Linked DNA regions of Struthio camelus. The protein of the gene in region 2 purifies or fractionates together with the protein of the main gene of each other region. This does not show direct contact. Links are inferred from orthologs where the notes say so. Each region holds a gene or a part of one and is shown on either strand. Other genes may lie near its edges.

Region 1 (6,622 bases), on a different chromosome or scaffold from region 2:
AAAAGACTTCTAACAAGACCAAGCCACACCATTGTTGATATTTTCAGTATTAAGGCCACGCTACAAGAAAACTTTCTCAAAAAAAAGGTCATCGTAAAGCTCATAAAATAGCAAAACATATCACCATCTGTTTTCAGCCTGATTCCCCAGTGCACAGCCAGATAGGCATCGTGCGCTTGGGAAGGCCTCAGATTAGCTTAGTTTACGTTTTGTTTACCCAAAATGAGTTCAGTGAAACCACACAGTCATAGCCAGTTAACTGATCAAAATAAATTACAGTCTACCAATCACCTTCCACAAGGTCTGTAGTCTTCCAGATCTGAATGCTGTCTCCCCAGCTATCTATGTTTTGGCTTCTGAACCAGAAATCAGACCCTACTCAGTATTTGCTTGTAATTGCATTTCCAGTTACTTAGTTCTAGGGTTTGGAACTATAGCTACAGCCTCCTGAGTTTCATCTTCAGGGTTTTTTTCTCAAATACAGAATTCTGCTAATACTGCAATAAATGTTGTCTAACCCTGCTCATCTACAACTCAGTCAGGAAAGTTTTTAAGCATGTGAGCAGAGTTAACATCATTAACATCAATGGAACAATCCACATGCTCAAAAATAAGTATATCCTTTAATGCGTTGTTAGGTTAAGGGCTTGCTTCAGTGAAGCCATGAGAAGGAATTACCTGCTGTCTGTAATACCTGCAGCCATAGTTCTTTCTTAAACAGCAAAAGCCATAACTAATAGGCATATTTGTTATATACTGCTGAAGTCAATGCCTGTAGTCATTAAAAGACTGTAGCACAAGCCTTTTTTATTTGTTTACTCCTGGCAGATAGTTTGTTCACAGCGAATAGGAACAGTGAATAGGAAAGCGTTTTCCATTAGCCAAATTATTTACCTACTAAGCTTTATTATTTGTACTGCAAAAACACCTGTATAGGACATAGATGTATGTTGTAACACTTTGGGATAAAAATGTATGGGGAATTTGTCCACAAGCTGTAGTACTAATTTTTACTTAATTTAGCTTCAGTGAGCAAACAGCTTTTTCCTTACTGGAAGAAATCCTACAATGTAGATTTTACTTCAAAGTGTTCTGAACAAAATCAGTGAAAAGGAATGATTTGGAGACAGTGTGGGTATTTTAAGGGCACTTTCTACTATTTTCCAAAATTACCAGCACTTTGGGTTTTCCTGATAGAAGTGTTCTTCATAATGATCCTCACAGCAGGCTTAAGAATGGATTGAATCATCTTCTAACTATATCTACTGCCATCCAGAGGTAATTGGCAAAAGTTTGAAGAGTAAATCTAAGCTAATGGTATCACAAAAGGTGAGACATGAATAGGGAATATTAGAACAATTCCTATTTTATACAGACTTAAAGTTGTAGCCCAGCCTAACAGAAACTAAAAAAAAAAATTTTTCTAATAGAAGAAGAAAAAAAAGAAACGTTACATCACTTTGACATTGTAGTTCATTTTGTGCATTAAATATATCCTGCATCATGCTTTCTATTCATCTTTTGGACAAGTATTTCTGCAAATTACATTACAAATTATATCTTAGGTTTTTCATGCAGAGTACGTGCTTTTCAAAAACCATTATGCAACCTTTGGTATTAAAGCAGCTCTTGAATCTAGCATGAGCGGTGGGCTTTTGATTGAAAACTGAGAGCGCTCATAATCTGAAGGATCACATCCCAGACTTTCAGATGTGACTAGCTAACATTGTTTAGGTGTCCAGATGTCAAGCAGTAGCCATATTTAAAAATCAGGCTTCATGTATGAGAACAGGATAGGATTTTCAGAGGAACCTGAAACTATTAACTCTAATTGATATTTCCAGGGTTCTTAAATCTACCGTGTCTCTTTAAAATTGAAGCTATAGTGATTCGGAAAGAATTGCAATGCAAAAGCACAACAAATTGTATTAAAAAGGATAATAGCACTCTTCATGCCAATGTACCCTCTATGTTCATCCTGGGGTTTTGTATCAGACCTATCATGTACTGAGGAACTAAGAAAAACGTATTGATCTGAAACATCCCCGTAACTTCAGGTAAGGAAAGCTGTGCAGCCACATGCATACTTCTGTACTACATCCTCAGGAGTGTGCATCATCCTTGAGGGTGCTAACTGCAATAAAAGCAATTACAGCTTTCTACCCCCAAGAAAGCCTGCACGTTGCCACAGCATCCAATTTCTGCCTGAGTTTCTCACAGTTCCGAGAGTTAGGAAACGCTAAGGAAGTAAGCATACGCACACACTCATGTGCGCATGCACACACACACAAGTTACAGATTACTATAATTCATGGTGAAGAGAGAGAGAAAACCAAAGGAAAGAGAGGGTAAGGCTGAAACTGTGCAAGTATCTATGAACTATAATGCCTCCAATCAGGGAAAACTCCCTTCAAGCGCCATGGCTGAGCACTCACAAATCCAGCCACAAGCACTTAGAGAAATGTGATACTTGAGATTCTGAAACTAGGAACCTAGAAGTGGAGAGGACCAAAATGAACAAACATTTCTAAAAATTCACCCTTAAAAAATCTGCTGCAAAAGCCTGTTAATAAAGCTTACACACATGCCTATTCACTTCAGGGAAGCTCTGTGCCTGCTTGTAATTCTCAGCTACAAACTGAGAGTTATAAATTCTAAGCATGACTAGGATTATTAAAGCGACCATCTCAGAAGCTGCTTCTCACCATCAGATAATTTCCTAAAATATGATTCCATTTACAAATTCTGTTTGGTTTACAAATCCACTCATATATTCCAACTGCCATCTTACCAAGCACATTCTGAAATCTCAACTCAATAATATCCTGTCAGCAGTAATGGTTTTGTAGTCAGATTTGAACAGCAGGCAATATTGCGCTGAGTAAACCTGGAGGAGGGTAGAAGCTTGTTTGCATTTTAATTTTTAACTTAGAAGCTCCATGCTATCGTGTGAAACATGAAGACCAATTCCTGGCATGCATTCCTTCTGTTATTCTGTCGATACAAAGTAATCATTAAATATCAAGCCAATTTTGTAAGTGTAATAAATTTTATCAATTATGTCCCTTCAATCCGAGTCATTTACCTGAAGACTGTTGGGCTTTGTACAAATATAAACCAAAAGAGCCCAAAGAGCTAGCTATCTAAGGATAAGATAGGACAGTACAGCGACCAAGGTATCAACCGACTGCCCCAACAGTGCCCCTTGCTTATGCAGTATAAAAGTATAAATATATGCCTGAACTTATTTGTGTCAAAAATAGTATATGTACATCTCTGAAAACTGTCTTTAATTTAATCTATAATTTCAGGTGAAAGTATGAGCTGTCCAGGAAAGTGAAGAAAGTAGTATGCAATGCAATGCCATCTTGTGGTAAACGGGAAAACTGTCTATGGCATCTAATTAGGTTTTAAATGCATAGGGAATTTGCTGCTCTGTAGTGCTTGAATCACACTCAGACCTGTTGGGTTGAAAAAAAAAACAAAAAAAAAAGATTCTATCATAATTATAATTATACAGTATAAGATGTGATATGCTAGGCAACAGATTCCAGGAATCAGTTTACAGGAGCAACATTTTATTTTCATTCTAAAAATACAGCTGTGACATTATACTCAGAATCATTTCCATCACCCCAGACACAAGTTAAGGGAGGGGACGTGTTTAACTCAGTAGCAAATTCTATCCAGTATAATAATTCCCGTGACTTTTTGTTGGCTGCAGCGAAGTCCTGTCATGAGCTTGTTTTTAGGGCACCAAAGATCAGCTCAAAACGTCATGACCATACGAGCCAAATCACTGCATGCTCTATTGCTGTAAAAGGATTCTGCCGTATCTCATTTGTTTAAAAATAGCACGGCAGTATCTTTGACCTGGCTGACTTTTTTGGTGCATGCGGTATCACCCGACGACCTCACTCATCGTGCCTGACGAGCCGTCTGAGGGGTGCTGCGGCTCTCCCCGCGCACCTCCTCTCCCCTTGGTGTCACAGGGCGGCCGGCGGCGGTCGCGAGGGAAGCAGCCTCGGCGCTGGGGTTGGGATCAGGCCACTCATTGCCTGGCCTAAGCTTTAGCAGTGACTTTGACACCTAAACGTTACGCTGCAATAAAAACAGAAAGGATATTTCCCCATGTCTCAGCCTTAACCTGCCGGATATTTGAGTGCTACCGCGCAACCCCTTACGCAGCAGCAGAAGGCGGCGAGGCCCAGTTTGCGTTCTGGGTGCTCTGCGTGCCCTGCTTTGGCCTCGTCTCCCTGCTGCAGGCAGCGAACGCGCTTTCGGCGTTGGCCTTCCTGTACACGCCAGCTCTCTTCACGCCCCTCCTGCCCCAGCCCCGCTCGCCAGCTGGGCCGAACCGGCCCAGGCAGCGTCTACCCCCAGCTAGCCAAGGGCAACCCGCGCCTGGCAACTTCACTGGGGATTTTTTGCGGGGAGGGCTGGACCACAAGTCATGTTGATCATTAAATAAGTGGGAGAAGAGCTGGAGACTTTCTGACAGGAGCAACGGGCCGCCCCGACGCAGCCCCACGGCCTGCGCGGAGACTACGGCTCCCAGAATGCAGCGCTGCCTCCTGCCCCTCCCAGAATGCCGCGCGCCGCCGCGGGCTGAGCGCCGGGCCAGCGCGCACTACAGCTCCCAGAAGACAATGCGCGCGGCCCGCCCCGCCCCGCCCCGCCCCTCCCTTTGTGGTTCCGCGCTCCCTTCTGACGTGCTTCCGGCGCGCTGACCCGGAACGGAGCTGGGTCACTTCCGGAGCCGGGCGGCGCGAGCTGTCCGCACGTGTCGGCGCGGCCCGGCCCGCTCCGCTCCGCCGCCATGGCGGCCGTGCGCGTGGAGGAGCTGCTGGCCGCGGCGGAGGAGCAGGAGGCGGAGAAGCAGCGGAGCATCGCGGTGCACAAGGAGCTGGAGCTGGAGTTCGACCTGGGCAACCTGCTGGCGCTGGACCGCAACCCGCCGGCGGCGGCGGGGCTGCGCGGGGCCGGCCCGCGGCGGGAGGCGCTGCTGCGGGCCCTGGCCCGCGACAACACGCAGCTGCTGGTGGCGCAGCTGTGGGCGCTGCCGGCCGAGCGCGCCGGCGGCGCGGCGGGGCCGCTGGTGGCGCAGCTGCCGGAGCCGGCCTTCCGCCTGCCGCGCGAGAAGCCGCCGCCGCGGCCGCGGCCGCCCACGCGCTGGGAGCAGTTCGCGCGGCTGAAGGGCATCCGCCGGCGGAAGCGCACCTCGCTGGTGTGGGACGAGCAGGCCAAGGAGTGGCGGCGGCGCTGGGGCTACCGGCGGGCGGGCGGCGACCCGGCCCGCGACTGGGCGGCGGAGGTGCCGGCGGGCGCCGACCCGGACGAGGACCAGTTGGCCAAGCGGCGGCGGGAGAAGCGGGAGCGCGTGGCGCGCAATGAGCTCAACCGCCTGCGCAACCTGGCGCGCGCCCACCGCGCCGCCGTGCCCGCTGCCCCGCTCCACCCCACGGGCCACCAGAGCCGCGCTGAGCTGGGCCACGCTGCCCGCGTCGCCCGCCTCTCCACCGCCTCGCTCGGCCGCTTTCAGCCGCGGCTGCCCAAGGAGCCAGCGGAGCCGCCTCCCCGTGGCGCCAAGAAGCGCCGTTTCGCGCCGCTGCTGGGTGACCTGGCGGCCGAGCGGAGCCAGCAGCTGGAGCTGCTGCGTGGCATGAGCAGCAAGAAGCCGCCCCTCGACATCACTCGTGCCGTCAACAAGCAGCTCCGCGAGGAGGATGCCGAGGCGGCTGCCGCCAAGGGCAAGAAGCGGGCGCAGCGGGGGAAGCGCGGTCGCCGGCAGCAGCAGCGGCCCGGCCACGGTGGCAAGAAGAGCGGCAGCAAGAAGAGTGGCGGCAAGCGGCAGCAGCGCCCTGTGGGCAGTGGTGGTGGCAAGAGGAAGAAAGCATGAGGTGGACTGGCACCCAGAGGGACAGAGTGGCCTGCAGGGCTGAGCACGACTCAGGGCCGGGGCTGCTCACCAAGGGGCAGGAAGGGACTGCTGCTGACAGCCTCCTGCCCAGTGCTCGGCTCTCACACCTATTTGTCAATAAATATGCTCTGGTCTTTCTAAAATCAGCATTTGGCTCTTGGATAGCAGTCAAGGAGGGCAGCGTCCCTCTTCTAAGAGGAGTTGGTGGTATATCACCAGAGTCAAGTTCCCCAGTTACCCCCAGGTTAGGGGCTTTAATGGGGGCAGCCAGATAGCTCCACAGCTGGCCCTGGCTGCAGCATTTTGAGACAGACCTCAGTCCCTGTGCAGTCAAGTTGCTCTTAAGTGAGAAACACCTAAGATTGGGGCATGGAACTCAACTCAAGGGCGGTAACTGGTATGTTAAGTGCTGGTGTGATCAAAGAGAAACGCAGTTAAAGGATGAGGTACTGCCTTTTGCTTTGCGCAGTTAAAGGATGAGGTACTGCCTTTTGCTTTGTGCTGCGGGTAGGTAGCCTGACTGTGGAGCTCCTGCTTTGCAAGTCATTGTCAACTCAGTGGTATTCAGGCTCGGTTGTGAGAGGAGGGGCATGAAAGCTATTCCTGTAAGACTTATTGCAGGGCCTGAGAGGTTACAAAGATTTTATAAACCTCTGCTGATTTAAAAAAAAAAAAAAAAAAAAAAGCTGTTGACCTGCCTTG
Region 2 (7,344 bases):
TGAGTCCGTTCTTTGCTGAGGGACACTTAGTCTACCCCAGGAACGCACCATCCTCATACCTTTGGTTTCTTCTTGCTCAGCAGCTCACTCACGGACTTGGTCTGAACCTCCACCTCCTTGAAGGCATATTTCGGGTCAAAGAACTTGCTGTCAATTTTATCTGGAGCCTGATAACCTGTGATGTGGGAATTGGAGAGTTCAGCAGGTTTCTCCCTGCCCTATCCCAGTGCACCAAGCTGCCAACAGCTGCAAGTATCCTCAGCTGCTCACCCTGGCACACCACGAAGATCTCAGCGGACTCATTGCGGGAGGCTTGGGGCTTGGTGGCTTGGACCTTGCGGAAGAACTGCTGGAAGATCCAGAGGAGAGGCTGGTAGTCCCGGGAGCGAAAAACCTTGGTGATGAACCAGCCGCCTTTGCAGAGAAATTCGCAGGCGAGTTTCAGGGCCATAAGAGTCAGGTTGGCTGAAGAGGGAGAAAGCAGCAGTCAACAGAGTTGTCAACTCCCCATCACCTAGCTCCTTGCTCCGCAACATGTGCCACCATCCACTGTGCCCTGCTGGGGCATGAGACGCACCCGCCCTTGCAACCCCTGGCAACTGCCCTAGGCCACACAGCAGCCCCGCGAGGGCCCTACCTTGGGAGTAAGCGTCGTGCACCCAGCTGGCCCCCACGTTGGGTGCTCCATCATTCAGCACCACGTCCACCTTCCATGTCTGCAGCTCCTTGCGCAGGGCCTGAGGGTCAGAAGTGCATGTTAGTCCTGCTAATCCCTGTCATTCTGCACAAGCCAGCAGGTAGCATCTCCAGTCCCCAAAAGCCCACGTTTCCACCTGCCTGCCAACCCAGACAGTCCGTTCAGCTGCCTGCCCCAGTCCTACCCCCAAAATGAGCCCTGACTAAGCAGCTAGGGTGACCTCCAGCCCAGACAGACCTGCTGAGTCCCAGATCAAGAGATGACACTTAGCAGGGTGGTTTTTACCTGGCGACACTTCTCAGTGGTGATGTCCTCCTGCAGCGTCACCACGTTGGGAATGGGTTTGATAGGGACCAAGTCCACCCCTGGTATAAGGAAGAGATGTCAACGTCGAAATTTTCCCCCCAACCTGGGTTCCAGCCTGGCTTCCCAGCTCACCCCTTCCGTGTACCAGGGCCCCCAAAGCACCCCATCCCTCAAGTCAGATCCAGGGACTGCGGAGGTGGTCCCTGCCCCAAGTCTCCCCTACGACATCCTTGACCACCCCTGCTCCAGCTCAGTGCAGGGTCCCACAACTCACCAATGATCAAGCTGGAAACAGGCATGAATTTGGAAGCCACCTGTAACCTGCAGAGAGCAGAGAGGGTAAAAGCTACGGCAGGATCCCATGAGAACCACCAACCTTGAATCATGCTGCCTAAGGCTTGGGATCTGCCTTGGGATCTGCGACAGGGAACAAGACGAACTGCCTAGGCAGGAAGTATAAAAGCCAGTTCGCTACAAGGTCCCAGCTATCCAAATCACCAGACTCCTACCTTCTTTGTGAAAGCCTTTTTCACAGGCACCCTTGAGTCAGGAATAGGTTAGCTATCCAGATAGAATAACTTGGATAGCCCCCATCTTGCCATGCGGGGGAGCCACAAAGGCTTAGGGCTACTCAACTAACAGCACACACAAATAAAATGATCACTAAAGAGTACTTCAGTCTGCACTACTTAAACACAGCCCAGACACTGAGCCTCCTGCAAGTAGATGCCTGTTGGCTTATGGCTCAGAGCCCGTGGCAGTAGGGGGCATTTCAGCGGCTTCAACAAGAAGTAATCATGTTTCTCATCAATTCCCCCAAAGCAACAAGGTATCTGGGGCAGGTGGAGCACGTATAACTCCAGCTGCAGCTTGTGCAGACCAGCTTTCAAACCGGAGCCAAACGAGCGTGTTCCTCTGGGCTCTGGCTAGTCTGGCTCACCCATGCACCTCCAGGAGGGAGGCCCATGGGGTAGCCAGGCCTGGTGTGGGGCAGCTGGAGATGTTGGGCCATGGCTCCGGGCCTGGCGACACTCACCACCCACCAGGGGCTGCACATAGGTCCAGCAGTGCCCGGGCCTTTTGCAAGAATTGGAACTTCCTATTGAGCTGGAGAAGTTTGAAGGAGGAGCGGGAGCGAAAGCCTGCAGAAAGAAGAGTGAGGGGTTACAGATTACTGGGAGTTATGGGTTTGCTCCTCTCCTCCCGACAGCGCGCAGGCTCCACTTACCCGTCTCCTTGGCCAGGTGGTAGAACTTGTCCCGCCGACTCTTGCCTACTTTGCTCTTCTTGCCCATGGTGGCGTCAGGCCGGGACCCCGGTGGGGCTGGGAGCTACGGTCACCTCTGCGCACGGACCTGCGGGGAGGCTAACGGGCTGAGCTCGGGGCGGCAGGGCCAGGAGGACCGACCCGGTGTCCCCCCACGGCCCCTGGCGCCCGCTGGCCCTGGGGTGCCCACACCTACCCCGGCCCGATGTCCGCCAACCCGGTGCCCCCCTCCCCTCCCAAGGGCCTACCCCGGCCCTGGAGCCCCTCAGCGCCTTCTCCGGCCCCGCTGCCCGCCCGGCTCCCCGGCCCCGCCGACCTACCGCGGCCTCGGGGTCTCCTCCCCGTCCTGGTGCCCCCCCGGCCTGCTCCGGTGCCCCCTTCCGCCGCCCAGTCCCCACACCGCCGCGCTCCCGCGTGCGCGCCCCACCGCCTCGGGCTGCCACTAGCGAGTGACTTCCGCTTCCGGTCGCCCTTCGCCACCATCTTGGGAATGTTGTCTCAGCACCAAGTCCCCGCTGCGAGCGGCAAGACAGGACGCCGCACGCAGGGAAAGGGGGAGGGAGAACAGACCTTCTAGGAGGCGCGTTTTCAGCCTACTCACCACCCTCTAGTGTTTCGTGACACAGAGGAATAACGTTTGACCTTACCAAGATGGCGACAAAAGCAGCGTGCTTGCGGGGCCATTTCTGCGCACGCGCATTCTCCACGCCGCCAGCACTCGAGTGCGCATGCGCTCTCACATCCTTCGGGATTGGAGCAATCTGTTTGTTACTGTGTTGTTGGGGGAGGGAGGAAGTGACGCCAGCACGCTCCTCGCGCGGGGGGGGGCCAGCGGAAGGGACGCCGCAGCCATCTTTAGTGCAGGCAGCGGTGGTGCCGGTGTCCCGATGCCGGCGGAGAAGATGGCGGTGGACGGGCCCGAGCAGGTGAGGCTGGAGCCGGGCCGAGTCGGGGGCTGTTGGCGGCCGGGGGTGCCCGGGCCACGCTGCTTTGCCATGCTGAGAACGGGCGGGGGCCTGGCGGTCGCTGTGACTCGGCGGAACTCGTCTCAGCCTTGGCGCGGAGGCAGACCGGGGCCTGGGGCAGCGAAGGGCATGAGGGGAAGCGAGGGATCCACGGATCCCTGGGCGAACGGGGACTCTGGGGGCTGGCGTTGGGGACAGGTCCGGGGAGGTGCGCGGGGGAGCCCGGACTCCGAGGGCTGCTGGGGGCTGACCCGGAGGTAGAGGTGGATTGCGGGGCCCTGGGGGAAACGGGAGGCCTGCGGGGCCGGACCCCGTCTCACTGAGTCCCGTTCTCTCACAGATGGAGATGGATGATGGGAAGGGTGGCACGGGACTCCGACAGTACTACCTGTCCAAGATCGAGGAGCTGCAGGTGAGCCATCCCCAGCTGTGCAGCCACCCGGCCTGCTCTGGGCAGGTGTCTCTGTGGTTCCAGCCAAGGGTGCCTATCTCTGTCTCCAGGCCTACCCTCAGGCTAAGAACATCTGCAGTGCTTTGTAGGCCTTTTTTTGCTGCCGGTGCCCTGTCCTGGGGTGCAAGGAGGAGGCACTTGTGAGGACGGTGTCTACAGGCAGGGCCATCAGTCCAGCCTTTGGGCGATGCGGGCATCCACGATGTGTTTCTGTCCTACCCAGTGTCATCGCTGCTTTGTGTGTATGAGATATTGCCTAATCCTTGGTAATGGAACCTGGCTGGTCACGTCCTGTTTGGAAAGGCTGTGCTGTCCTAGGTGCTTGTCCCAGGATGAAAGCTGCTCCTGCCTGTTCTGCTGCAGCTCAGCTAGTGCCTGTTGCACGCACTTGGTGTGCAGTTAGTTTGAATGTTGTATGGGATTCTGAAGTCTTAGCTAAGCTTTCTTTTTACCTAGCTCATCGTCAATGAGAAGAGCCAGAACCTGCGGCGTTTGCAAGCTCAAAGAAACGAGTTGAATGCCAAAGGTACAGCTCTTTTCATTTTTCTCATCCTGATCTCCTGCAGTGATGTGGCCACTCCTAGTTGCTGGGCTGATGACTTGGGACCCAGCTATGGGCCAGCATGGCTAGTGCTGTTGTTGGGAAGATCCAGCTCCTGCCAGGCAGGAACATGTGCTCTGAGTTTCATAAATCCTCTAGATGTTTTGTTTTTGAGGGTTTTTTTTTTCTTTGCTGTTGTAGTTAAGGGAAGGTGGGTACCCTTGGTTCCAGCTGAGTCCCTTTCCTGAGCAGGACTCTGCACTGATCCCCAAGATGTCCCCGAAGGGCTGCGTGGGGTGTGTGTGCCACCTCCATTGGGGGCCGGGTGTCCTCTCACTGCACTGGGAGCTGATGCCTGTAGCTGGGCAGAACGGCGCTGCTGATGTCTCCCTCCCTCTTCACAGTGCGCCTGCTGCGAGAGGAGCTGCAGTTGCTGCAGGAGCAGGGCTCCTACGTGGGGGAGGTGGTGAGAGCCATGGACAAGAAGAAAGTGCTCGTCAAGGTACAGAGCTGGGGTGAGCGGGTTGGAGAAGGACAGAGTCTTTCCTCATCCTTGCACAAGGAGAGGGTTGGAGGGCAGATGTGATAGCACAAGTTCTGGGAGGGATGTGACAAGGAAGAAATGTGAAGCGAGAGCTGTATCTAGAGGAGCACCTTGTAGCACCTCTCGTGAGCCCCAACCTTCCCCAAGCAGGTGGGAAGCACCTGGCTCAGGGGTTACTGGGGGCAGGTGGAGCTGCAAGGTTTGTGTTGGTGGCTGAGCTGCCTGGCTCCTCCTTCCCCCTCTGAGAAGCCAGTATGGGTACTGGACACACGACTGGGGACGTTTCAGGTAGAGAAATAACTCATGGTGGCAACTGCCATGTTTCAGGTGCACCCGGAAGGGAAGTTTGTGGTGGATGTCGACAAGAACATTGACATTAATGATGTGAGTGTGGGGATGTCCTGGGGGCCGTGGGTGGGAGGGGAAGGAGATTGCTCCCCTTGGGGTGGCCTCGTGCTGCCTGCTGCATTCCTCAGCCTGGGGTGGCTCAGAAGGGCTGTATCAGGGCCAGGTGCTAAGTTCCCCTCTGATCTTGGCGTAGGTGACCCCAAACTGCCGCGTGGCCCTGCGCAATGACAGCTACACACTGCACAAGATCCTGCCCAACAAAGTGGACCCTCTTGTGTCCCTGATGATGGTGGAAAAGGTCCCGGATTCCACTTACGAGATGATCGGAGGTTTGGACAAGCAGATAAAGGAGATCAAGGAAGTAATCGAGCTGCCAGTCAAACACCCAGAGCTCTTTGAGGCCCTGGGGATTGCCCAGCCTAAGGCAAGTGCTGTCCACCTGGGCCTGGTGTGATTAGGGGCTGCTGGTGACCACAAGGGGATGAGCACCCTGGGGTGCTGCTGTGGCTGCTGCTGCAGTGGCACTGCAATGCTGCGATCCTGCCCCTCGCTGCCCAGGGTTGCTGTGCATCACCTGCTCCTTTTTGTTGAGGTTGTTTGGGCTAGTGGGAAGGAGAGGTAGCTCTGGGGTCTCGTAGCTTCTCGGGTGCTGCGTTCCACTTTGTGAAGGAGAGAAGGGATGTGGGACAGTAAGTGCTGCTGCCCTGGTGAGGATATTTGCTCTCCCTGTCTGTGGCTCTACCTTGGGGGCAGAGGAGAGGGGGCTTTCCTGTCCCAGGATCACCTTCAGAGGCCCCTGGACTGGAGCTTTCCCCCAGCTTGCATGCATGGTGGCAGGGAGCTCTGCCCAAATGCAAAGGGCCTGGTGGCACTAGCTGCTAGAAAGATTTTTCCCTTGTCCCCCCACCCTAGCTGTGTCACTTCCCCAGGGGCAAACAGGGCCTGTGAGCATGTGGGAATGAAAGCTGTGGCAGTGCCTGGGCTGCCCTGGGGTGTCCCTGCCCGTGCAGGTACTGACGGAGGGTTGCTGAGGCCCTGCCTGGCAGCAGTGCTAAGGCAACCGCGTGACCGTTGCAGGGTGTGCTGCTCTATGGACCCCCTGGTACAGGCAAGACTCTGCTGGCCAGGGCTGTGGCCCACCACACTGACTGCACCTTCATCCGTGTCTCAGGCTCCGAGCTGGTGCAGAAGTTCATTGGCGAAGGTAAAAGCATGCAGGGGGAGGCTGCTGTGTGCATCAACATCAGTCTGAGCCCTGGAAAGGGTGCCAATGTGGTGCTGTGTGGCCTCGAGGGGCTGAGTGCCTCTTGTGTGGTGTCCTGGGTTGCTCAGAGACACCATGGGTGCACCAGGCTCTGTGCAGTGCCAGGTCTTGACCCTCTCTGCTCTCTACAGGTGCTCGCATGGTGCGGGAGCTCTTTGTGATGGCCCGGGAACATGCCCCATCCATCATCTTCATGGATGAGATTGACTCAATTGGCTCCTCCCGCTTGGAAGGTGGCTCTGGCGGGGACAGTGAGGTGCAGCGTACTATGTTGGAGCTTCTCAATCAGCTTGATGGCTTTGAGGCCACAAAAAATATCAAGGTGTGAGGGCTGCTGTCCCTGGTGGGGCCCTGAGCCGCCTGGGGAAAGGGGCAGTGTTGTGCTGGTCTCATGGTAGCAGTGGGGGGCCCAGAGTGGTGACAGTGGCTGCTCTCCTGGTACAGGTGATCATGGCCACAAATCGGATTGACATCTTGGACTCGGCTCTGCTGCGCCCTGGCCGCATCGACAGGAAGATCGAGTTCCCCCCTCCCAATGAAGAGGTAGGTGGGGTGTCCCATGGCAGGTCCCATGTCTCTGTGGTCCTGGCCCTCTCCCTGCGGGGAGAGCAGGGTCCCCAGCTCTGTCTGGGAGCAGTTCCTCCTGTGCTTATTTGGGGGGGGAGGGGGGGGGCTCCAACCCTTGCCTCACTGCTGCTGTCCTTACAGGCCCGTTTGGACATCCTCAAGATCCACTCCCGGAAAATGAACCTGACACGAGGCATCAACTTGCGAAAGATTGCGGAGCTGATGCCAGGAGCATCAGGTGCAGAGGTGAAGGTGAGCCCAGAGTCTGAGAGATGAGCAGCAGTGGGGTGGCTGGGTCGGGGCCTGGCAGCCAGTCTGTGTCCTCTTGGCCCTTGCTGGGGGTGCAGGGTCTAGAGCTGATGAAGAAGAGCAAAGGGTGACATCTCTGTTCCCT
Region 3 (7,839 bases), on a different chromosome or scaffold from region 2:
CCTCATGTGAAGGCACAGCGTACCTAACAGTCTGTAGGCTTCTTTGCTTCACAATTATAAAATCTGTGCTACAGTAATTAATTTGAATTAATAAAAAGTGACCTATACTGCTGGAGAGGTGATCTGGTTGGAACAAAAACATCTATAGCAACATATGAAAAGCTGCCACCGGGCCTTTCAAAAATACCACAAAGAGAAAACAGTGTTGCCCAAAATATATCAACCAAGCACTCCGCAAATGAGTGATATGCTTGATTAGCATAAGCAAGGTACTTCTCTAAAAGTAAATCCACATGTGCATATAGTACAACCCAGCAACACTACACTGACGTTTCCAAGAGTTTCTGTACAGTTCTTAATCCAAAGAGGTCTCTCTACTGCTCTAGATGCAATACAACTCTTACATCAGCTACACATAAACCATGTGATTTTCTCGTATTTAGCAAGTCCTGAGAAAATAAGCTTTGCTTAAACACTCATTACAGTGATCCCACACTTACAAATCCTGGGAAGTCATAATCAAGCCCCTTTTCAGCCAGTCTCTTCCGTAAAAGTTTCTCCTTCCGTAGTAGTCGCCTTGCCATCTTTGCCTTCTCACTGATGGAACGTATCCTATTGTAACGACTGACTGCTGGCTGAGAAGGCTTCTGAAACTTTCTGTCACAGTCTTTGAAAAGGTTTTCGTGGACCCTTTCAGGAGGTATGAACTGACCTGTGTCAAAAGCATATAACGTCACATCATAGCAAAGCTACTTTTCTCACCGAACATACTCACGTGATGCTACTCAGTTCTTGCTATAACATTATCCACCACTACAGCAAAGCACTATTACAGAATTTTACCATCACAAAGACCGGAAAGTAACTAAATACTCGCTGGTAACAGTACCGATAACGGATGCATGGAAGAAAAAAAAAAAAAAAAAAAAGAAAGGCATTTTCAGTTTCACCCAGAAAACAGTCAAAAGACAAACCTGATTTTCTCAAGTTGGTAAGCATATATAGCTCACACTGCTCTACAAAGCAAGTTTTAGTATCATTGTGTTTGAGACATTTGTTCGTTTCATTAATTTTTAAACCAGAAAAGCTATTTGCATTTAGCTGCACAGAAAGCAGCTGCAACAGAGTTATAAATTAAAAAGAATTTTCATATTAAAGGAATTAGATTTGCTCTATAGAAGACATCTCCTCTCATTACGATTTTGTATGATGCTATTATACAATAACCATTATTAGTCTAGAAAAGAAAGTAGTAGCAAATAAAAGGCTCATGATGATATACTTTACATATGAAGAAAAGCAAGAAAAGCTCAGCCACACAGAAAATTCTTTTGGGCTGAAGCTTCGTAAAGAAACAAGAATCTTCAGATAGTTCAGAAAAAACACAAGTATGAGTTTCCTTTGCACATTAGACAATTCAGACTTTGGGTTATACTTACACTTTAGAAGTCTTTCTCCAAAGAGGTAGTTGTTCATTGTTTCTGCAACAATCTTTGCCACATCATCAGATTCGAACTCAATAAATCCATAGCCTTTGCTACCTCCAGTCTGCAAGCAATAGGAGGAAATCTGAAGTGACACTTAGATATCTAGCAGAAGAACTAAATTCAATTTTTTTATGCTTCAGAAGGGAAGGCCTATTTTCAGCTAAACAGCTGTAATTTCAGAAAGTTCAGTGAATTCATGAAAAGCACCAAATTTAGTCCTAGATCTGTAGGAGAGTATTTGTAAATACATATCTGTGCATGAAATAAACCACTCACCAATATCCTATTTTAATACATATAAAGAAAGGCCCTGCATTTGCTGTTTTCATTTTTATTATCAAGTTTACATAATATTATAACGTGATGATAAACCCACAGATGTGTAGATGTTAAATTTATCAAGCACAAAGCAATCGAAATGTTAAAAGAGAGTCTTTTCCATGACATTTCACATTCTGCACTTAAGAGTATTCTGGCAACACTTCCAACTTCAGCACATTCACTTGTGAAGAAAGGGGCTACATCTACCGGCACTGAAACTGCTGATTTGTGGGACCATCATCCCTCACATGCTGCCTATCAGCCTCTATTTCATTTTGGAAGTATTTTCAGGATAAGAAATTACGCGCGGGGCCCCCTGCCGCCCACTCTTGAAACTGCAACGAAGCTTTCCACGTGTTGCATACCAAAGCCGGATGAACAGCAGCAGGGCCAAAAACGCATAAGCTGCTTAAGGAGCTTCCGAAAGCAGTTAGTTTTGCTCATTATCCAAGTCAGTAGTTTCTGTAAGCAAGAAGTCTCAGAGCCCTAACAGATTTAGGGTTCACTCTACGAAAGCGAGCGGCACACGTACTGCTGTAGCTCAGGCACTTCACAAGCAGTAACAGCAGGAAAGACGAAAAGGAAAGTTAAACTCACTTTAACAGCTCTTTAGAAGAAAAGGGACGAAAAGGAGAGGGGGCAGTCACAGCAGCCAAGCCGGGAGACAACAGCGATTCGTCCTCCCGGCACAAGGAAACGGATTCCCGAAACGCGGCGAGAGGCCTGAGCCTAGCGAGGGAGGGCGAGGCGCCGGCAGCGGCCGCAGGGCCCGCGGCGCGGCACCGCTTTACCTTCTTACTCCTGGAGAGCCGGAGCCGCGTGACGGTCCCGAACTGGCCGAAGTACTCGCGGAGCTGGGGCTCGCCCAGCCCCCGCGGGACGTGCCCCACGTACACGGTCCCCGCCACCAGCCGCTCCTGCGGGCACACAGCATGACGCGTCAGCCGCGTTAGCCCCCCCGCCCGGCCCGGCCCGGCCTTCGCGCCCCCGGGCCCCGCGCCCCGGCCCACTCACCTTGGCCGCCCGGTTCTGCCGGACCCGCTGCACCTGCTGCTGGAACTCGCGCTGCAGCCGCGGCTCCAGCGCCAGCAGCGGCGCCACCGTCACCGCCTCGGCCTCGGCCGGGACCGCCGTCACCACCGCCGCCGCCTCAACCGCCGCCATGTCGCGATCGCCTCAGCGGGCACGCCGCCGGAAACGCGTCACCGGCGCTGCGCGCGCGACACCCCTCCCCGCCTTCCCCGGCCTCGCGCGCCTGCGCACTGGAGCCGCACGGGCGGGCGGCCACCGCGCGCGCCGTCTCCTAGCAACGGCGCGGCCAAGCGTACCCGCACAGCGTCGCCTGGCAACGCGGCGCGGGGCCGCCAGGGCCGCGTCGCCGGGCGGGAGGGCGGTGGCGGCGGCGGGGCCCGGGCTCGCCGCGGAGCCCTCTCGCCCTTCGCCCGCGGAGGCGGCGGCGCCCGGCCCTGCCCGGCCCGGCCCGGCCCGGCTCTGCCCCCTCGCGTGCGGCCCTCCGCTGACGCCAAGAGGCCGATCCCCGCCCCGCGGTGACGCCAGCCCCGCACTGCCCCGAGCCGCCGTCAGGCGCTGAGTGGGGCAGCCCCGCGCCAGCAGCGCGGGAGGCCCCGGCGCGGCGCCGGCAGCACGGGAGGCCCCTGAGGCGGGAGCCGGCGGCGGCGGCGCGGCTGGGCGGCACCATGTCGGTGAGCGACATGTTCATCGCGCTGCAAGGCGTCCTCACCGCCGACCAGGACATCCGCGAGGTGGGCGCGAGGCCGCGGCGGGGGCCCGGCCGGGCTGGGCCGGGTGGGTGAGTGGGCGGGCGGCGCTGCTTCCCCTCCCGTGCCGTCGCGTCCCGTCCCATCCCATGCCGTCCCCTCACGGCGGCCTGTGTCCGCAGGAGATCCGGAAGGTTGTGCAGACGCTGGAGCAGACGGCTCGGGAGATCCTCACGCTGCTGCAGGGCGTTCACCAGGGCGCCGGCTTCCAGGACAGTAAGTGCGGCGGAGCCGCCTTAGGCCGCGGTGCGGCAGTGCCTCCTTCCTAGGGAGAGCCAAAAATACGTCGTTCCTGGGGAGCGCTGCTCTGTAAGCCTCTTCGTTCCCGCGAGGAACCTCCGCGGGACGCAGGGGACGTGGGTTCCCTGTTAGGGTCACGCGTTTCCAGTTGCCCGTAGGCCCTGCTGAGGTGTCTTCCAGGGTGGATTCCTCAGAGGCTGCTGTGCGGGCTGCAGCGGCGCCCTTCAAGCCAGATGAGTAGAAAAGCTGCCATCCAGCCTCAGGCAACGCCGTTCCTCCCCGTTCTGATTCCCTCCCTCCTCGAGGTTTTACTGTCTTAGTGTGGAAAAGTATGTTGTTGCTACACTTGTTCATTTTCTGCGTTGGTGAATTGGCTCATAGGTTTCGCTCTAACTAGCATGCGTGTAGATTCTTATATCCTGCTAACTGTAATATAACCTGATGGGCCTTTGTATCTGTAGTCCCCTCCTCAACCCTCCTCCACCCCTCAAAAAAGCTGTGATGCTCTGGGGAGTGAGCAGGATAGTGTGGGAAGGGACATCTTTAATCTGCTATGTATTACATTTACTTGTGTATGCGTGCATGCAGGTACATGTGAATATAAAGTTGTACTTTGAGTTAATACCTGACTCCCAAAACGTAAAGGAAAATTACAAAGGCTGGTAAAGCAAGAGAAATCCTTGACATATGCTTGAGTGACAACTGGAATTGTGCTGTCGCTTTTAGGTTCAAGTTGTAGCTGTAGCTCCCTTACTTTTGAGCCAGAAATTTTTAGCATGTTCGAGGTAATGTTTCTGGGCCAACCCGTTTGCTCAAAGGGCATGAAATGTAGCTACAGACTTGAATGCTGAACGCGCTGTCCTTGTCCCCCCTATTTGTAGAGTTAGTGCTGAAGCTATTGGAATAAGCAGCTTTCTTATTTCAGTATGCGATTTAAAAGCCATTCAGTCATGTCAATGAACTTCTGGGGAGAAACAACCATTCTGATCTTTTGGAAACTCTTGAGAGGGACTCGGGGAGAGAAGAAATCTGGCAGGCTACCATCAGAAGGTGAAGAAAAGAAAGAAAACCTTCATCTGTTCCTGTTTTATTCATCTAGAGTGTTGGCTGGTTGTTTGTCAGCCTGATGACACTCACCACTACTTTTGTGCTTCAGCTGGAGGCCTGCGATTTCTGTAGTCTCCTGTTTGGTAACCACTAGGTATGTGGTTAGCAGTGTGCAGCATCTGACACTTGACCTCCACTGGCAAGTATAACTTCCTGCTGCTTAGGAAATCTACCAGTGCTAAAAATTAGAGTTGCTAATTGGCTAATTTAGTCAAACATGCTAAGTAAAGCATGTTTGACTAAAGCTGAGTAAAACCATGGATGTTGTGACAATCATTTTGCATGGTACCATCTTTAGGTTTTTTTTTTTTTCCCAGTATGTATTAGTAGAGACCTGTATCTGCCTCCGTGTATGTTGATTTATTATTTAATTTTAAGAGGGAGCTGGTCCTGAATCTTGCAGAGACCTGTGGAATAGTTTAAGTACCAAAAAGAAGACTGCTCTGCTTACAATTTTTGCAATATCAAAGATAATGAATGCAGGTCTAATAGGCTGGGTGGGAATTAACATACGATAATAGGCCTGTCAGTTTGACATCAATTTCAAGCAAAATAACAAAAGTCAGTAAAGGATTTGATTAATAAAGGTTAATAGCAGAGTAATTTAATACCAATTAACACAGAAATCTTTATGGGGAAAACTAGCACTTGTCAAATGATGTGTATTTAGACTATACTTTTACTTGATAATAGTTGTGGTGCTGTAGTGTAGTGCACTTAAATGTCTGTTTGGCTTAGTATGACATTTTGTCTGCTGACTTAGTACAATATTTTCATTAAGAAACTAGAATGGTGTAAAACCTGTATGGTTTTTTTTTTTTGGCTAGGTCAAAAAGGGATAGCTGATGATTCTTAAAACTATGAAAGAAGGGCATATTCATTACAACACAGTTCTAGCTAAATTTTGCAGCATCAAGTTTTGTACACTCTTGCATTTATTTATTCTAAGATGTAAGAAAAACTACTGATACAGTTATTAAAAGTTTACAGGTGACAGAAGAGTAAATAATGATGCTTGGTTAGTGCAGCTGTATTTCTATAAACAGTTTAAACTGGTGCTGCTGCCAAAAGAAATTGTACACCTTATTGTGCCTCCTTCCTTGTGCCAGCATGAGTGGGATATTACTGTCTTTCTGTGGTAGCTTACTATTCTGTCTTTTGTGATTAAATCCTGCGTCAATAATTGAGGTAGAACAATGAAAAAATAAGGGAGGTAACAGAGAGCCAGTGAAAAAAGTTAAAGGATTTAGAACAGGCTCCGTCCTACCAAAGAGCAGGGTTAAGGGATGGCTTGAGCTCTCTTAATAGAACCACAAGATGGTTGGAATGGGTTAATAGAGGGTGTTTTGCTGTATCAAAGGGTAATATTTATAAGATCATATTGCATAATGGCTTTCCTTTGTTCTCTAGGCACTTAAAATATCTCTTGGCTAACCCTGTTTCCATTGAGTTTTCCCCCTGACTTCTTGTACTGCAGGGCAACCACCTACACCCAGACAACAGCTACTTCATGGCGACTGCCTCTCTGCATGTGCTCAGTAATAGACTTTACCCTTAGCTCGTGAAATACACTGTGTTATGCTTAGCAACGCATCAGTGATGATATGTAAGGATGCACAAGGATAGCTTGGTGTTGGGAATTTTGTTTGTGTCTGTGCGTCATCAGGCACCATTGTCTGCAACTTTACAGTAAAGGCTGCTTTTCTGTCACAGATTCGTTTGACAGAAGCCAAAGTGCAAATGTGCTCTTCGTTCTGTCCCCAGTTGCCCTGTGACAGCTCGAGGGACCATGTTCAGAGAGTAATTCTCAGTGAGCTTTCACTCTAGCTGCCATATGAAGCACTTTCACCTTCTGCTTCCTGAAACTTTCATTTTTAACCTCCTTTTTTCTGATTGAGGGTGATGTTTGATTAGTTAAAACAAGTTTTTAAACAGATACTTAAAAAGTAAACTGCTGGTAGGAGTCATTTGATAAGTCATCCATGGCGACTTTCAGATTATTTAGTTGATGTGGATCCTATTTAAATAACCACAGCTTCTATACTTCAAGATGCTGAAGATGCTATTATGTTCACCACCTGCCTTTCTTGGGTTTTGACCAGGATTTCTGAGAAGGCTGCAGTTAAAAAGTACTGATTTGATGAGTTCTGGCAAGCTGTGGTTCTGCAGGTACAGCGTGGCTGTAATTCTTATTAGCGAACAGGAGGTGGCAGTGGGTGGTACATAAACAAGCGAGACCGTTTCTCTGCAGGAGTTTAATCCAGTGAACAGGCGAAAACTTGGTTCTTTCGAACAGATTGCTTGAAAGGGAGACTAAGACGTAGCTTCCTGGAGGGATGTTGCACCTCACATAACCTAACTCTGCCTGTTCAGAAAAAATATTATGAGACTTTAAAACAGAGAAAGAAAAGTTACTTTTCCTTTGACTGCCTAAGCTGTTTGGTGCTGCTTTGCGTGTTTGCGCTTTTTGGGGAGTGATTGCTGTGCACAGTGCAGTCCTATTGCTTGTGATTTGGCCATTGCTTTTGTCTCTTCTGAACTGCTGCGTCAGAGCTATTAGAGACAGAATCGTCCTGTTTCTCTCTTTGTAACACCTAAAACCCAACTAGTCCTCCCTTTCTCTTTACTCCATCCACTCAACTAAGACTCTAAACATACTTTCTTATCAGCTTGTGCCCTGATCTTTGTTGCCTCCTTCCTTCTACCAATGCCATACGTAATAGCCTTTTACCGCTCCAGAATGCTGCTGCGTGAATGGCTTTGTAGCATCTTGCTTTAATCATGTTACTTCTCTCGTTGAGTCCTTCCCTGGCACCCTGTTATCTGTTGCCATAGTTCTCGACTGTTTTATGTTTACAGGCCCTTGAACATTTACCGGGAAAGGCGTTTGCTCTGTATAGCGAGTC

Evidence for each region.
Region 1: the proteins of FTSJ3 (region 2) and RRS1 purify together in Homo sapiens (affinity purification with mass spectrometry; 3 studies listed by BioGRID and IntAct, counting the BioPlex papers as one, with this or other methods). This does not show direct contact. The link is inferred for Struthio camelus from reciprocal best matches to the Homo sapiens genes FTSJ3 and RRS1.
Region 3: the proteins of FTSJ3 (region 2) and NIFK fractionate together in Homo sapiens (co-fractionation; 3 studies listed by BioGRID, with this or other methods). This does not show direct contact. The link is inferred for Struthio camelus from reciprocal best matches to the Homo sapiens genes FTSJ3 and NIFK.

The regions. Positions count from the first base shown.
Region 1 is NC_090943.1:132,526,579-132,533,200, reverse strand, and holds RRS1 (ribosome biogenesis regulatory protein homolog), read left to right. Parts: upstream 1-4,736; 5' UTR 4,737-4,819; coding exon 4,820-5,899; 3' UTR 5,900-6,066; downstream 6,067-6,622. UniProt on the Homo sapiens protein: Involved in ribosomal large subunit assembly. May regulate the localization of the 5S RNP/5S ribonucleoprotein particle to the nucleolus.
Region 2 is NC_090966.1:2,767,980-2,775,323, forward strand, and holds the start of FTSJ3 (pre-rRNA 2'-O-ribose RNA methyltransferase FTSJ3), read right to left. Parts: upstream 2,999-7,344; 5' UTR 2,918-2,998; intron 2,738-2,917; exon of another isoform or gene 2,591-2,737; intron 2,359-2,590; 5' UTR 2,299-2,358; coding exon 2,232-2,298; intron 2,146-2,231; coding exon 2,040-2,145; intron 1,325-2,039; coding exon 1,278-1,324; intron 1,063-1,277; coding exon 983-1,062; intron 738-982; coding exon 638-737; intron 466-637; coding exon 271-465; intron 176-270; coding exon 60-175; intron 1-59. Other genes in the region: PSMC5 (26S proteasome regulatory subunit 8), read left to right, coding at 2,999-3,196, 3,576-3,647, 4,143-4,212, 4,632-4,729, 5,099-5,155, 5,313-5,543, 6,197-6,323, 6,515-6,705 and 2 more.
Region 3 is NC_090947.1:33,017,754-33,025,592, forward strand, and holds the start of NIFK (MKI67 FHA domain-interacting nucleolar phosphoprotein), read right to left. Parts: upstream 3,073-7,839; 5' UTR 2,973-3,072; coding exon 2,823-2,972; intron 2,726-2,822; coding exon 2,600-2,725; intron 1,549-2,599; coding exon 1,440-1,548; intron 713-1,439; coding exon 501-712; intron 1-500. Other genes in the region: TSN (translin), read left to right, coding at 3,506-3,571, 3,709-3,802.